Linked DNA regions of Macaca mulatta. The main gene of each other region encodes a partner of the protein of the gene in region 2 in a complex. Links are inferred from orthologs where the notes say so. Each region holds a gene or a part of one and is shown on either strand. Other genes may lie near its edges.

Region 1 (7,932 bases), on a different chromosome or scaffold from region 2:
TTCCCTCGCATTGCTTCTTGGGAGTTGCAGTTCCCTGGAGAAGTCCTCCATTTTGCTATGGATAGGCGCGAACTGTACAGAAATTCTTGTTTTACTGGTTTGCCTTCTTTTCTTTTCTTTTCTTTTTTTTTTTTTTTTGAGACAGGATCTCACTGTGTCACCCAGGCTGGAGTGCAGTGACGGGATCTCGGCTCATCGCAATTTCCGCCTCCTGGGTTCAAGCGATTCTCCCGCCTCAGCCTCCCGAGCAGCTGGGACAACAGGCGCGCGCCACTTGGCTAATTTTTGTATTTTAATAGAGACGAGGTTTCGCCGTGTTGCCCAGGCCGGCCTCGAACTCCTGAGCTCAAGCGATCCGCTCGCCTCGGCCTCCCAAAGTGCTGGGATTAAAGGCATGCGCCACCACGCCCAGCAGGTTTGCTTTATTTTCTTTTTTTTTTTTTTTTTTTTTTTTTTTTTTTTTTTTTTTTTGAGACGGAGTCTCGCTCTGTCGCCCAGGCTGGAGGCTGGAGTGCAGTGGCGCGATCTCGGCTCACTGCAAGCTCCGCCTCCCGGGTTCACGCCATTCTCCTGCCTCAGCCTCCCGAGTAGCTGGGACTACAGGCGCCCACAACAGCGCCCGGCTAATTTTTTGTATTTTTTTTTAGTAGAGACGGGGTTTCACCGTGGTCTCGATCTCCTGACCTTGTGATCCGCCCGCCTCGGCCTCCCAAAGTGCTGGGATTACAGGCGTGAGCCACTAAAATAAATTGCTTCAGGGTGATTCGATTCCGGAACCATCGAAGGTCCTAAGATTTCAGAACATAGGAAGATATAAAGTGGGGATTCGGGAAAGCTGCCATACTTCAAAAAATATCCTTTCACTGTTTAAGATAGAGCAATTCTTTTTCCTAAACTTCAAGAATAAAATAGCTGACTATGGTCTTTCCTCACGAAGCCTGAAGCAAAATATCACTAGAGATTCCTGGCTACAATGTATCATTTGTTCAGAAAATACGTCAGCGGGCCGGGCGCGATCATCCCAGCACTTTGGGAGGCTGAGGTGGGGGAATCTCGAGCCCAGGAAGTCGAGGCTGCAGTGACCTATGCAGTGATTATCTAGGGGTGAAGAGCGAACCAATGGACATAGGGAGAAAATTAGCCAAATCTAGGGAAAGTATGACATTTGGTGTTAAGATAAAGAACTTCCCACTTTGATTGCATGCTCAGGTGAGAAGCACTGAAAAACAACCAGATCCCCTATTTGGCTACAGGAAAGTTTTGAGTTAATGGGGGATGAAAAAGAACCCTTTCCCTAGAGACTTCATCTTATAGTTCAAAATACTGTAACATTTTGTATGTGATTGTTACAGTCCCTCTTTTTTTGTGGTTTCCCTTTATTATATTCTATAACATTTCACTTTCAATCCCTGAAAAACGTTTTTAAAATTAGGTTCCTTCTAAGTAGTTCTAGTATTGTCACCACCCAAACATATATGACAAGTTTTTTGAAACAAAAAAAATCCTATCAGAATTATTTTGTATCAATTCCACCAAGATTTCAACTGATGATTGCCAACTGGTCTATAAGCTCTTTTTTTTTTTTTTTTTTTTTTTTGAGACGGAGTCTCGCTCTGTCGCCCAGGCTGGAGTGCAGTGGCCGGATCTCAGCTCACTGCAAGCTCCGCCTCCCGGGTTTACGCCATTCTCCTGCCTCAGCCTCCCGAGTAGCTGGGACTATAGGCGCCGCCACCTCGCCCGGCTAGTTTTTTGTAGTTTTAGTAGAGATGGGGTTTCACTGCGTTCGCCAGGATGGTCTCGATCTCCTGACTTCGTGATCCACCCGTCTCGGCCTCCCAAAGTGCTGGGATTACAGGCTTGAGCCACCGCGCCCCGCCGTCTATAAGCTCTTTAGGGAAATTGTTTTGTTTTTGATACGGAGTTTCACTCTTGTCACCCAGGCTGGAGTGCAGTGGCGCGATCTTGGCTCACTGCAACCTCCGCCTCCTGGGTTCAAGCGATTCTCCTGCCTCAGCCTCCCAAGTAGCTGGGATTACAGACGCCTGCCACTAAACCCGGCTTTTTGTATTTTTAGTAGAGATGGGGTTTCACCATGTTGGCGAGGCTGGTCTTGATCTCCTGACCGCAGGTGATCTGCCTGCCTCGGCCTCCCAAAGTGCTGGAATTACAGGCATGAGCACTTGACCGTTTTTTTTTTTTTTTTTAAATAGACTTAATTTTTTTAGAAGTTTTAGGTTCACAGCAAAATTGAGGAAGGTTAGACATTTCCCACACATATAGCCTCCCCCTTTATAAACATCCCTCCACCCTGCCAGAGTGGTACATTTGTTAACAATTGAACCTACGTTGATATACCATTATCACCCCAAATCCATAGTTTAGTTTACACTACAGTTCACTCTTGGCATTGTACATTCTTTGCCTTTGGACAAATGTGTGAGCAAGGAGAGAGGGATGAACAGGCAAAACACAGAGGATTTTTAGGGCACTGAAACCACTATTTTAATGGTGGATATACGTCATTAGACATTTGTCCTGCGTTCAGTTCTGTTCACTTGTAGTATCTCTAGTTTAGCAATGCCTGACATGCACTAAGATAAACTAATTACCCATCTGACCTCAGTCTGGCCCTGAAAACTAGTGTACCAGACATTCTTCCTGGCTTCCTGAATTCAAGATAAACACTTGCAGTGCTGTTTTTGCAGTACACATTAAGTGTCCTAGCCCCAAACAAATCTTAGCAGTGAGGACTGTTTCTACTTAGAAAATTACATCACCCAACTCCAGCAGATAACTTACTATGTCATCAAAGATTCTAGGATTTGTGTCTTCTGCAAGTCAAGACATTGCTCGTTTTGGGAAGGCAGAGCATGGCACTGTGGAGGAACAGTTCCAATACTACTTCAACTGACATTCATTCTCCCCATCTCCATCAAATAAGAGCAGCATACAAAGCACATCATTATGAGCAAATCCAAATTTATTTTAATGTCATGTCATTTTCAATGTGTTTAAAAACCTCATAAGTTAGTGGGAGCCCTAGTTTCCTGGGACAGCATGCCAGAGGTACTGAAATTTGTCACCTTTCTCTACAAACCCCCAGCAATCCAATCCAAGTCCATAGCTTCAGAAAGCCAGGAGTTGTATCTTCAGTCAGTCTACTCCTCTGGTTCTTGGTTTTTCTTTCAAGGGAGGGAGATCACAATATTTCAAACAGGGAACAAAACCAGTTGAGCTTCCAGCTCAGGTTTGTGTAAGATGGAGTGAGGAAAGACCCCACTGACTCCAGAGAAAAGGGTAAGGTTGAGATGGATTATTTCTTTACAGCTTTGTGAAAATGGAAGAAAAAAGATTTACAAATGAGGATCCATTTCATAGATGAGAATCTCTTCATAAATGAAGGCTCCAGCTCCTAAAATGGGAGGGGCCTGACTGGACAGCCTGAATCAGATGAGGAATCGGCCACACTGAATAAAAACAATCTGAAAAATAATCCTCCTAATTTTGAAGCCAGATAAAATACCTGGGGAGAATGGAAAAAAAGAGGAAAAGGCCCCAAACAGATGGAAAAATGCTGACATCAGAGTGGTATAAAAAATTCAGCTGAGTTTTCAGTGGTGATGGCTAATTTAGCCCTGTTCTGTAGTAGGGCACAAACCTTGACCAAGCATAGTAGTAGAAAAGGCTAGAAAGAGGGGCTTGAAGACGATGAATTTTGACTCCTGATTTTATTATTCAATTTCTTTTTTTCATTTAAAGTAGTCTTCCGTGGTTGGGAAGCCTCGCCTCCCAAGACCAGAGTCAGTTGGAGCTGGTTGTTGTTGGAAGGGAGTGGGTTGGGGAACTGGGGTGGGGGCAGGGAGACCCCCGCTCTGCTGGCGGTCCTAGATGGAGAAGAAGAACTGCACTTCACAGAGTCTGGGGTGTGTTGGGAAGGGGATGAGGCAGGAGCAGCAAGCTGGGGAGATGGGACCCACCTCAGTCCCCAGCTTCATTTTCTTCTAATGTTTCCCCACTGGTGGCATTCTCTGCAGTCTTGGAGGCCTATATGCAAGAAAAGGAGAGGGAGAAGACGTGTCAGTTTCTAACTATTTGGGGGTAGTGTCTGGGACCAGAGATAAAAGTGTTTTTTTTTTTCTGAGACAGTCTCACTCTGTCGTCCAGGCTGGAGTGCAGTGGTACAACATGGCTTGCTGTAGCCTCAACTTCCCTGGGCTCAGGTGATCCTTCCACCTCAGCCTCCCAGGTAGCTGGGACTATAGGCACATGCCACCATGTTGCCCAGGCTGATCTTGAACTCCTGGGCTCAAGTGATCCTCCTGCCTAGGCTTCCCAAACTGTTGGGATTATATGTGTGAACCACCACACCCAGCCATAAAGTTATCTCAATCCTCTGGGTCACAGATGAAATAAAGATATACAGGTCTCTGACTTATAATGGTCAACCTGTGATTTTTCAACTTTACGATGGTGTGAAAGCAATATGGATATTTCAATACATGATAATTTGTTCAATAAATGTTTTGAGCACACTGAAGGTAGGCCAGGCTAAGCTATGAGGTTCATGGTAGGTTAAGGTATATCAAATCCATTTTGAGTCAGGCATGGTGGTGGCTACTCAGCAGGTTAAGGCCAGACAATCACTTGAACCCAGGAGAAGCATGAGGCTACAGTGAGCTATGATCATGCCACTACACGTCAGCCCGGGTGACAGAGTGGGATCATCTTTTTTTGAGACGGAGTTTCACTCTTGTTGTCCAGCAGAAATGGTGCGACCTCGGCTCACTGCAACCTCTGCCTCCCAGGTTCAGGTTCAAACAATTCTCCTGCCTCAGCCTCCCAAGTAGCTGGGATTACAAGCATGTGCCACCACGCCCAGCTAATTTTGTATTTTTAGTAGATACAGGGTTTCTCTACGTTGGCCAGGCTGATCTCAAACTCCCGACCTCAGGTGATCCGTCCGCCTTGGCCTCCTAAAGTGCTGGGATTACAGGCGTGAGCCACTGTGCCTGGCCAAAACAAGGCTGGGCATGGTGGCTCATGCCTGTAATCTCAACAGTTTGGGAGGCTGAGGTGGGAGGACTGTTTAAGGCCAGGAGTTTGAGACCCTGTCTCTTAAAAAAATATATATATATCTTAAAATCCATTTTGACTTATAGTATTTTCAATTTATGATGGGTTTACTGGGACAAAGGCCTATCATATTAAGTTGAGGAGCATCTATACAAACATCCGTATCCCACTACAACCTAACACAGTGGGACAAAGAGGGATCAGGTTCACCCTGCCAGGGAAGGATGATAGTAAAACACACCTTCTTTTTTTTCTTTTTCTGGGTTTTTCGACTTGCAGAACTCTGGAGGAGGGCCTGGAAAACAGGAAGAAGGAAAAAAATTTTGAGGAATGTGGAGGAAATTAAAAACAAAGGGTTACTTTCAGTACTGTAGCTCTCTTCAGGACTTTGCTGGCATTTAGCCCTCACTTCCAGGCAGGTACCATGTACGTATTTACCACCTTCTATTCCACACTAACCTTTAGCTCTGCATCCTGGACCTCCATCTCAGACTTGTAGAGGTCAGGTTCAAAGGGACCACTGGTTATCCGCATGGGGCCATTGGGCATGAGCAGAACTGTAAATTTAAACTGGGCAACAAATTCACCTATGGCAAAAATGAAGATGTGTTTCGATAAAAAGTTCCTTTGTCATACTTAGCTCTTCTGAATTTATAGGAAGGATATCATATAATCAGGGAATCCAAAGTGAAGCTCCTTTTTAGAACTCACCCTCCTTCTCATAGAGAACATTAAATGGTTGCAGCAGTTCATGTTTGGCGCACTCCACCACACCCATCCGAGCCTTCTTCTCATCTTCAAATGCTCTGGCAGGGAAGATGATATTCAGAGGTATCCTTAACTCCCCGTCAAGTCTTACCATTTTGCTCATATTTTAAAATAGCTCCTACCCTCAGGCAGAAATCATGCTTAGGATTGCTCTTTTACATTACCTTCAGTGAGAAGGAGATGGGGAGAGAGAGGGAGGGAGTGAGCACGTGCACGCTACAAGTCTAGGCAGGAAGGGAGAGGAAAAAGTGTTCCTGGGTGTATGGTCTGTGAGTCAGACTGGTTCCATGTACTATCATTGCTAAGTGTAGTACCTTAAAGTAAACGGCATAGCATCAAAACGCCTTTCCACCTCACTGAAGAAGGCACGTGAAGTTTTCATTTTCAGTCCATACTGTTTAGAGGGGTCTCGTTTGTAAATAGTGGTTCTCTGTCCTGCATCCTTGGCCTGAAAGGGTAATTTAAGTAACATTTGGTCTGGTGAACACTCTCAGTCACCCCTCTTAGCCAACTCTGGTACTCTCCTCACCTTGCCCTCTCCTGAGCTGACGAGAACATCCACAGCATATACTTCATGTACCTCAAATTCAGCTTTTTCATGGTCCTTCCTAAAAGGAATAGAGAGAAAGGGAACTTTTTTTTTTTTTGACACACAGTCTCATTCTGTCACCCAGGCTGGAGTGCAGTGGCACAATCTCAGCTCACTGCAACCTCCGCCTCCCAGGTTCAAGCAACTCTCCTGCCTCAGCCTCCCAAGTAGCTGGGACGACAGGAACACACCACCACGCCTGGCTCATTTTTGTATTTTTTAGTAGAGACAGGGTTTCGCCATATTGGTCAGGGTGGTTCCGAACTCGTGACCTCAGGTGATCCACCTGCCTCAGCCTCCCAAAGTGCCGGGATTACAGGCATGAGCCACCATGCCCGGCCTAGAGAAAGGAAATATTAAGAGCAACAGGTCACTCCTGAAAGCATGGAGTAAAGGGTAGACAAGATTCAGTTGGGAGTATAGAAAAAAACCTGATGACTAGTCTGGTATGGTAGAAGGTGATGAATAGGGTTGGCACCTACTTCTGCTGGTCTGTGGGATTCTGGATAATGGTTTTTTCTCCATCGATGACATGCTGCTTCAACTGGTGTGACAGCATACCTGTAGACAGGACACAACCTATGGAACGAGCTATCCAGTATCCCAAAAGATTTCCAAATCTACCTACTTCAGTAGTTTGAAGGGGTAGGCAGTGAGAAAACTACCTGGTTATGGAAACACAGGGCCCTGAGATTTCTGGCTTAGACTGGGTTATAGCTGGATAGATCTTCAAGGGGGCAAAAGCCTCAATTCTGCAAAGCGACTCATTCTTTTTTTTTTTTTTTTCTGAGATGGAGTTTCGCTCTTATTGCCCAGACTGGAGTGCAATGGCGCGATCTCAGCTCACTGCAACCTCCGCCTCCCGGGTTCAAGTCTCACCACAACCTCCCAAGTAGCTGGGATTACAGGCGCCCGCCACCACGCCCAGCTAATTTTTGTACTTTTAGTAGAGACGGGGTTTCACCATGTTGGTCAGGCTGGTCTTAAACTCCTGACTTCAGGTGATCCACCTGCCTTGGCCTTCCAAAGTGCTGGGATTACAGGAGTGAGCCACCGCGCCCGGCAAAGCCACTCATTCTTAGACCCTCAACCCTGTTATCTGTTCTCACCTTCTATTGGCGTGCAGTTAAATGAGTGGGCAACTTTGTTCCAGGCTTCTGTCACTTGTGTGTTCTAGAAGTACAACATCAAACAAAAGGTGAGATATCAGGAGCTAATAAGTTCTCTACAATGAGAATAAGAAGCATAAAAGAACTGAACTGAGCATTCTTTTTTTTTTTTTTGAGATGGAGTCTAGCTTTGTCGCCAGGCTGGAGTGCAGTGGCGTGATCTCGGTTCACTGCAACCTCTGCCTCCTGGGTTCAAGCTCTTCTCCTGCCTCAGCCTCCTGAGTAGCTGGGATTACAGACATGCACCACCACGCCCAGCTAATTTTTGTATTTTTAGCGGAGACGGGGTTTCACCATGTTGGCCAGGATGGTCTCAATCTCCTGACCTCGTGA
Region 2 (8,116 bases):
GTAGAGAAGGCAGAGAAGATATGTCATGCTTACACATGGAATTGTCTTTGTTTTGGTTACTTCCTTTAGGGTTGGATGAGTGAATGCAGGAATCAAAGAATGGGTGGATAACGGAATCCATGTATCCATCAGCCAGTAGTTCCCTGCAGCAGAACCACCCTGAGCACTTGTTAAAACACAGCTTATTGGCCGGACAGAGGTTCACACCTGTAATCCCAGCACTTTGAGAGGTCGAGGCAGGAGGATCTCTTGAGCCTAGGAGTTCGAGACTAGCCTAGGCAACATAGTGAGATCCCGTCTCTATAAAAATCATTTTAAAAATAACTGGGCTTGGTGGTACTCACCTGTGGTCCCAGCTACTCAAGAGGCTGAGGTGGGAATATCGCTTGAGCCTGGAATTCAAGGCTGCAGTGAGCCGAGATCACACCACCGCACTCCAGCCTGGGCAACAGAGCGAGACCCTGTCTCAGAAAAACACAAAAAACAAAACACAGCTTGTTGGGCTCCACCCCCAGTTTCTGATTCAGTCGTTGGGGGAAAGGGGGTGGGGCGGGGGGGCAAAAAATAATCTGCATATCTCACAAGGTGGAGGTTCATGCTGTTACTGATTGGGCACCACACCCAGAGAACCACTGGCACAAGCCATCCGATACTCTTAGGCCGTGATAATTGTGGCTGCAAATTTTCTGCCTGATCCTGCCAAATAGCTCACACACGCAGTTGAAAATAAATCCTCTGACTCAGTGTTTGGGGGGTGTTGTGGGTGGGCTGCCCACTCTACCTCCCGGCACTTTCCTGGGTAGTAGTGTTAGATGTGAGTGTTGGAGCACGTGTGGTGGTGTGTGTGCATGCGTGTGCACACCAGCTATACTGCTGTCCCTTTGGAACCTCTAGTGCTGACCACTGACCTTCTCCAGGTTCTCTCCTTTGCTCCCCAGAGCCCTTCTGAATTTTCTTATCCAGCGAAGAAGAGTAAGTGAACATTTAAGATCACAAGGAGCCCTCCATTGTCTCCTGGGATTTGGTGCCATCTAGTGGCTAACTTGAGAATCTTTGCTCAGACTTAGAGAAACTTCTGGAAAATTAACTAAGTAGCCTGGGAAGGCAAAAACACCTACTTGTTTACCCTCTGAGAAAGGCTTCCTGGACAAGGACTGGCTCAACATGATAGGAGTCAAAATGGGTTTCTTGCTCTCCTGAAAGCTGTGATAAAAATTAGAAGTCATCAAAGAATTTCAATCACGTCCCACTGCATCTTCAGCTTGAATGATTTTCCAGAATTGATTTTCATTTCCTGAATGAAATGGAGTCAGGTAATACCAACTTGGTATTTGCCTCCCATCTCATTTCTCTGGGTCCCAAGCTCTGAACAGCCCAAGTATAGCAATACAGTTCCCAAGGGGTCAGTGAAACTACAAAGAGATCTGTAGTTCAAGATACAGTTGGTACTGATCAGAGGGACATTGGGGTCTTAAAGTCATTGAGGGGTGGAATTGTTAATGACCACTGTGATCCAGACAAAAATCTAAGACATCAGCACACAATGCCACAGGTGCTCAGAATCCTCATGAGAGGTGCAAGGTATTGTAAACATGTGGTTTGGACTTTAATAGAAAACTTAAACTACTTGTTATGGGAACAAAGGGGAGGCGATCAGGGATCATAAAGGAAGCTGCTCCTTAAAGTTGTTTGGGGAACTGTGATGGGTCTCAAAACATGGTCTTGAGACCAGCAGTATCAGCACATTCTCAAGCAACATCCCAAAACTACTGAACTGTAAACTCTAGGGATGGGGCCTAGAAATGAATGTTTAAACAACCCCTGCAGATGATTCTGATGCACATGAAAAGTTTGAGAACGCTGGTTTAAGATAAGCTTTAGATGCCCTAAAATACACCTGAGAGTGTTTAGAGAATCTCCTAATGAATTCATGGAGGAGACAATTTATTTCCTTAACATAAGCCTGCTTCTTTTTTATGTTTTGTTTTTGACACATAATTGTAAGCCTACTTCTTTTTTAACATACAAAGGTGCCTTCTAGTTTGTGATGAAATACAAAGGATTATTTATTCGCTTTCACTTCTTTGGATTTTAGAGAATACTATCTTGGTAAGTGGCTCCAAAAGTAGCTCAATAGTCCTGTAGACATGGTAAGTTTTTTTAAAAAAGAAGAAAATGTTCAACTTTAATATTAATCAAAAAAATACAAATTAAAATTGCAATGAGATATCATTTCTCAACTAACAGACTGGCAAAGATCACAAAGAATAATGTGCATCAATAAGGAGGGCATAAGGGGGAAAATAAAGCACACACTCCAGGTAAAAAGATAAAGTACCAGAATCTTGCTGGTAACACAAATCAGAAGCCTTAAAAATGAGTGTATCTTTGACTCAGCAATCCCATTTCTAGGGATATATCTTAGAAATAATTAATGATATATGCAACAATGAACATATAAAGATGCTAAATATATTGTTTATAATTTTAAAATTAAAAATTTTAATTTTGAGGGAATTATAAAGTCAATCAGCGTGCCCATATGACAGAACATAATAAAAATCAATCAGCACAAGATTTTTTCCAGTTTTTAAAAGGAAGATTTATTTAACAAGTTTCACTTAGTACAATACATCTAAATGGAAATCACAATACAAGGAAAGATTTAAACCAAAGCCTCAGAATTTCATACAAACAACACGACCAAACTTCTAAAGTATTGGTATTACATCTTAAAATTGTCCCGTATCCTTCAAAAAAAAAAAAAAAAAAAAAAAAAAAGTGTACACTCACGTGCCTTACAGGATATTAAACCAAAAAGCTAGAATTAACAAACATGCCAAATGTTTTCACTTTGAATCGTAGACACAGCTCCTATATTTGAGTTTTACAGAAAAGCATGTTTCTCAACATGCATCCGAAGTTTTCAATGTATTTGTGGTATAAGAGCAACATTTAACATAAGTGAAACTGCATTAACCTAAATACGCTTACTGCTTAGGTACACTCCTACAACATAACTAACTTGAGGAAAGCTAAAAATTGTTTTAACAGTTATGGTCAATACTGAACTTTGTTATTATGTCCTAGATGAATGTTTCAGTGTTCAAAATTACTGAGCTTGAAGTTTTAAAATAATCTCAACTTCCACTTTACAGTAAGCATGAATCACAAGCCTGTAATGCAAAACTGTTAAACTTAACTCTTGTTTTCTTAAAAAAGGAGAAAGAAAGATAAAGAAAGAGAAGCTGACCAAGAGTGATCAGAATCAATTATATTTCCCATTTACCAATCATACTGGATATACTAGACATCCCTCCCATTCTATTCAACTCCCACAAATGTACAGCTTTTATATATGGAGTAGCTGTTTGGTGCTCCTTCTCTACCTAAGCAAGGTTTGACTGATAGTCACTGGAATTTTCCTGCAGAACTTGGTCATATCCACTCATACTGCTCTGACCACCATAACCACCTCCATAACCACCACTCAGCTGCTGGCTAGCAGGACCTCCATAACTAGACTGGTTGGATAAGCCCATCCCTCCCATCATTTGGCTACCATAAGCCCCACCACTTGCCCCTGCTGTAGAATTCAAAAAAAGTTCTACATAGCTGTGATCGTAAGCACCCCCACTTGTTCCTGCAGTAGAATTTAAGAAGAGCTCCACATATCTATGTTGCATATTAGCTTTGTCTTTTGCCATAGCTGCCACAGCATCTTCATGAGTAGCAAATTCAACATCTGCCTCACCAGTAACTCTGCCATCGGGTCCAATTTCAATATGTACTCTCATGGGATTAAGAGGTGAGAAGAAATTATAAATATCATTCTCAGTGGCTCTGTAAGGTAACCCCCTCATGTGTACACAGTGCCCTGTGGTGCTCTGGAAACTGGACCCACCATCTCCATATCTATGATCAGACATTCCTGAAAAACAGTAATTGAGGTCTCTTCCAAATCTATCAGACCCAAAGCCATATCCATCATTATAGCCACCATAGTCATCATAGCCTCCATACCCTCCACCGTAGGCACCACGCCTCATCCTTTCAAACCCAGCTCCTCTGCCAATGCTATTATACCCTCTGCCAGCCCCCGGCCTATCATAGGGACCTGGCCGCTGCATAGCCATGAGCTTTCGAGGGGGATCATAGTGGGTTCGAACTTCAGCTCGGCTACTCTTGAAGATCTCAATGTACCTGTGCCCTATTCTTTCCTTGTGTTTCTTTAAGGCCTTCTCAGCTATCTCCTGCGAAGCAAACTGCACAAAGGCTTCCCCTGTGCTTCGCCCCTGAAAGTCCACTGGCAGTGTCATCCCATTTGGCACAATTTCCAACCCTGAAAAGAACTGAACAATCTCTTCCTTGCTACAGCCAAATGGGAGTCCTCTAAGCCGGACGAAGCCATCGTTGGCAGTATCAGGGCTATTCGGACCTGTATGCTTCAACACCCAATCCATTTCAACACTGTTAGACTTGAATACTTCAACGTATCTGTGTCCCATGGTTTCTCTGTCCTTCTTCAAAGCCAATTTCACTTCCTCTTCAGATTCAAGTTCAACAAATGCTTCACCACTTGGTCTGCCTTCTCTGGTGTAGATGAAACGAATACCTGATGTGCCATTTTGGATCTTGCAATCAGAGAAGAAGCGCATCACTTCATCGGCTGAGCAGGACCAGGGTAGGCCCCTGACCTTCACCACGAACCCCTCCCTGCCTTCCGTGCTCAGCATCATGGTGACTGTTGGGCTCTTGGTGGCAAGTTTGGCTCAATGCAATTTTAGTGTAGCTGAAAAAAAAAATTAGAAGACTACTGTCATGGAAAAATGCCCGTGATATAGTAAGATAAAAAAGCAAACTATTAATAGAAAATTCAACTATGCTGACAGCTTTTCTGTAAGATGTCTGTATAAACAAAGAGTTCACCAAATTTTTAACTCATTCATTTTTTAAGTTATTTATTCAATGCCTATTACATGTTGGATACCATTAAAAATTAATAGCAATCGGCCGGGTGTGGTGGCTCACGCCTGTAATCCCAGCACTTTGGGAGGCTGAGGCGGGTGTACCACCTGAGGTCAGTAGTACCACCTGAGGTCAGGCGGGTGTACCACCTAGAGGTCAGAGACCAGCCTGGCCAACATGGTGAAACCCTGTCTCTACTAAAAATACAAAAAATTGGCTGGGCGTGGTGGCAGGCGCCTGTAATCCCAGCTACTTGGGAGGCTGAGGCAGGAAAACCACTTTTATGTACCCAGGAGGTGGAGGTGAGCCGAGATCACGCCACTGCACTCCAGCATGGGCCACCAGAGCGAAACTAAGTCTCAAAAAATAAATAAATAAATAAAATAACATCAACAAATCAGTGGGATAGGTCAACAAATAAAAGATAGCTATATCTGAATATACACACATAAAAAACTTCACTAGATCAAAAGATTAAACAACAATTAAAACATTAAAACACAAACAAAACACAGGTTATATACGTTCTTTATATAATCTCCTTATATACAAATGTATGCAAATCAATAAAATCAGGGAAATATTTGGGCTTCAGAGATAAATGAAAAAAAGACATTATTGGGAATTCACACATTCATTTTAGAAATATTTTTTAGTTGCCATGTCCAATACTCAGCTCTGGCATACAAGAATCAATAAGCCCAGAAAGGGCTTATGATCCTACAGGAGCACCAAATATCATTATTAAAGATGTAAATGCAAATATACATTATACTTGCCATGACCCTCTGGGTGGGGTATAAGCATAGTATCAAGGAGGGACTAGTTGATCAGTTCTATTGGTTGGAGGTCAAATGGTTAAATGAAACAGACTAACCTGCCCAGGGATCCATAAACGATTTTTTAAAATTATGATAAAGCACAAATAGGAGAGGGAAAAGCAAGAGAAAAGGCTGGCAAGGCATAGATCAGATCCCAAAGACTTTTATGCAGTGCTTAGTTAAGACTGCATAAAAAAACTGGAAAAATAACATGGAAAATCCATAAACCTACCACTCAGAGTAACCACTAATATGTTCATTCTAACTTAAAAAAATCCCAGTGCAGCAAATTTAAAGAATTAAAACTGTATAGAAGTATATACACACTATATACACTAAGCACCTTTTAAGACTTTTAAACCGGGGAGTTTGTGGGGTGACTTCACCAAAACTCTTTCAGACAGATCACCCCGGCAACAGTGTGGTACTCAGAGGTGGAACTAGGGAGATTAGTTAGAACTTGTCTCTTAAATATACGTTAAAGGAATCGCCTAAGGCAACAGGAGTAAAATGGAGAAAAGCTATATCTACACATACCAAAAAAAGTGGAATCTGCGGGACTTGATAACAGATTAAGTATGAGAGAATACAGGTATAGGAGGATACAGGAGAGCAATCTGGGAAATGTTCAAATTTAATCAATCTTCCAGTAAGTTAAAACCAGAACTAATCATTATTTTTCACCCATCAAGATTATGGAAATTAAACGGTGACAGTAAATCAGTGCTATGCAGAGTTCACAAACTAATAATACACTACTAGAGGAGTGGTAATTGATATAAACTATTTCCTTTTTGATAAATCCCACTATATCCTGAAAGCAATTTGATAATATGTATCACGCCTTTTGACAGCAAATACATTTCAGTTATGTGCCCTAAGGAGATGATCTGAAATTCAGACAAAGATTTATGGAGCTATATATTCTTTGAAAAGTACTTTATTAAGAAAACTGGAATATTATGCATTTAATTTTAAAAGTTACAAAAATATTTAATAACATGAGAAATTACTTATGCTATAATTATAAGTGACCCAAGAGCACAGCTGCTTTACAATCTCAACTATGTACAAAATACATATTCCCATACCCTTTGACACTGCTAGAATCCTTCCAGGAATCTAGTCAACAGAAATACTTAGGAATGTTCCTTGCAGCACTGTTAGTAAAGGCAGAACATTGGAAAGCTAAATAGCCATCATTAGAGGAATGGCTGAATGAATTATACCTTATCCTTAAAATGGAATGCAATGCAGCCATTTAAAAAAAAATCTATCTGCCTTGACCCAGAAAGATCTCCAAAATACACTAAATGAAAGAACATACATAGTATGATCCTACTTATAGTAAAAGATTAGCATGCATGTATATACGTATGTAAATAAATAAAAGAAGATCTGGAAGCAAACTTGTTTTTGAGAGAACTGAAGGGTAGGGGGAGTGAAGTGGGCTTTTCGCTTTTTACCCTATATACTTCTATACAGTTTTAATTCTTTAAATTTGCTGTACTGGGATTTTTTTTAAGTTAGAAAGAACATATTAGTGGTTACTCTGAGTGGTAGGTTAATGGATTTTCCATGTTATTTTTCCAATTTTTTTATGCAGTCTTAAATTTCTACAGAAATAATTACTTTTACTTCAGCAAAAAAGCAACATAAAACAAATTAAAATGTTTGCATTTCTGGGATTTGGTATAGGAAATTTTATAAAATTGTCCAATTTTGAATGTGGATGGTTATCTGATATGGTCTGTGAGCATTGGGCCTCTTGGAAACAAAGTACAAAGTGTAATAACGGCCATAAAACTACACTGAGGAAACGATTTAACATTTACTGATTGCATATTAAGTGCCTAGCAGACTGCATCTGCAGTGATAACAGTTTTCCTATTAACCATCCTAAGGTCTCAGTGACAGATTTACAGGCTGTTTTTTATTACATTTTGTACAATTTTTTTTTTTTTTTTTTTTTTTTTTTGGCTTGCCTTATCCCTGGGATAACCCGTCCCATTTAATTCCCTGCACCACTCTATCCCTTAAGAGCCCTTCTGTAGGGGCAGAGAGGTTCTACTTCATTACTGCGTCTCCTGGGAAGGCCATCAGGACTGCTGGCTCAAGTGGGAACCAGGACTCTTTGTGAGTTAAGAATTTGTGTATTTATATGCGTGTTACACACATTTTTTTAAAAACTGTAACGAGATAAGGTTGAGTAGTCGTCTCTGGGTGGTGAATTACGTGTATTTTTAAATTTTATACTACATTGTTATTTTTCAAATGTTCGAAATTGAGTATGTAGATTGTTGTTATCAGCAGAAAAATAAACATTA

What was found. The genes of interacting proteins can lie anywhere in the genome.
Region 1: HNRNPH2 (region 2) and PA2G4 share a complex: the UniProt entries of both Homo sapiens proteins name them as parts of the ribonucleoprotein complex. The link is inferred for Macaca mulatta from reciprocal best matches to the Homo sapiens genes HNRNPH2 and PA2G4.

The regions. Positions count from the first base shown.
Region 1 is NC_133416.1:63,259,030-63,266,961, reverse strand, and holds the end of PA2G4 (proliferation-associated protein 2G4), read right to left. Parts: intron 7,604-7,932; coding exon 7,540-7,603; intron 6,992-7,539; coding exon 6,913-6,991; intron 6,450-6,912; coding exon 6,371-6,449; intron 6,290-6,370; coding exon 6,156-6,289; intron 5,880-6,155; coding exon 5,785-5,879; intron 5,661-5,784; coding exon 5,533-5,660; intron 5,369-5,532; coding exon 5,315-5,368; intron 4,045-5,314; coding exon 3,979-4,044; 3' UTR 3,978-3,978; intron 3,885-3,977; 3' UTR 2,963-3,884; downstream 1-2,962. UniProt on the Homo sapiens protein: May play a role in a ERBB3-regulated signal transduction pathway. Seems be involved in growth regulation. Acts a corepressor of the androgen receptor (AR) and is regulated by the ERBB3 ligand neuregulin-1/heregulin (HRG).
Region 2 is NC_133426.1:108,299,928-108,308,043, reverse strand, and holds the end of HNRNPH2 (heterogeneous nuclear ribonucleoprotein H2), read right to left. Parts: intron 4,814-8,116; exon of another isoform or gene 4,793-4,813; 5' UTR 4,740-4,792; coding exon 3,390-4,739; 3' UTR 2,573-3,389; downstream 1-2,572. UniProt on the Homo sapiens protein: This protein is a component of the heterogeneous nuclear ribonucleoprotein (hnRNP) complexes which provide the substrate for the processing events that pre-mRNAs undergo before becoming functional, translatable mRNAs in the cytoplasm. Binds poly(RG).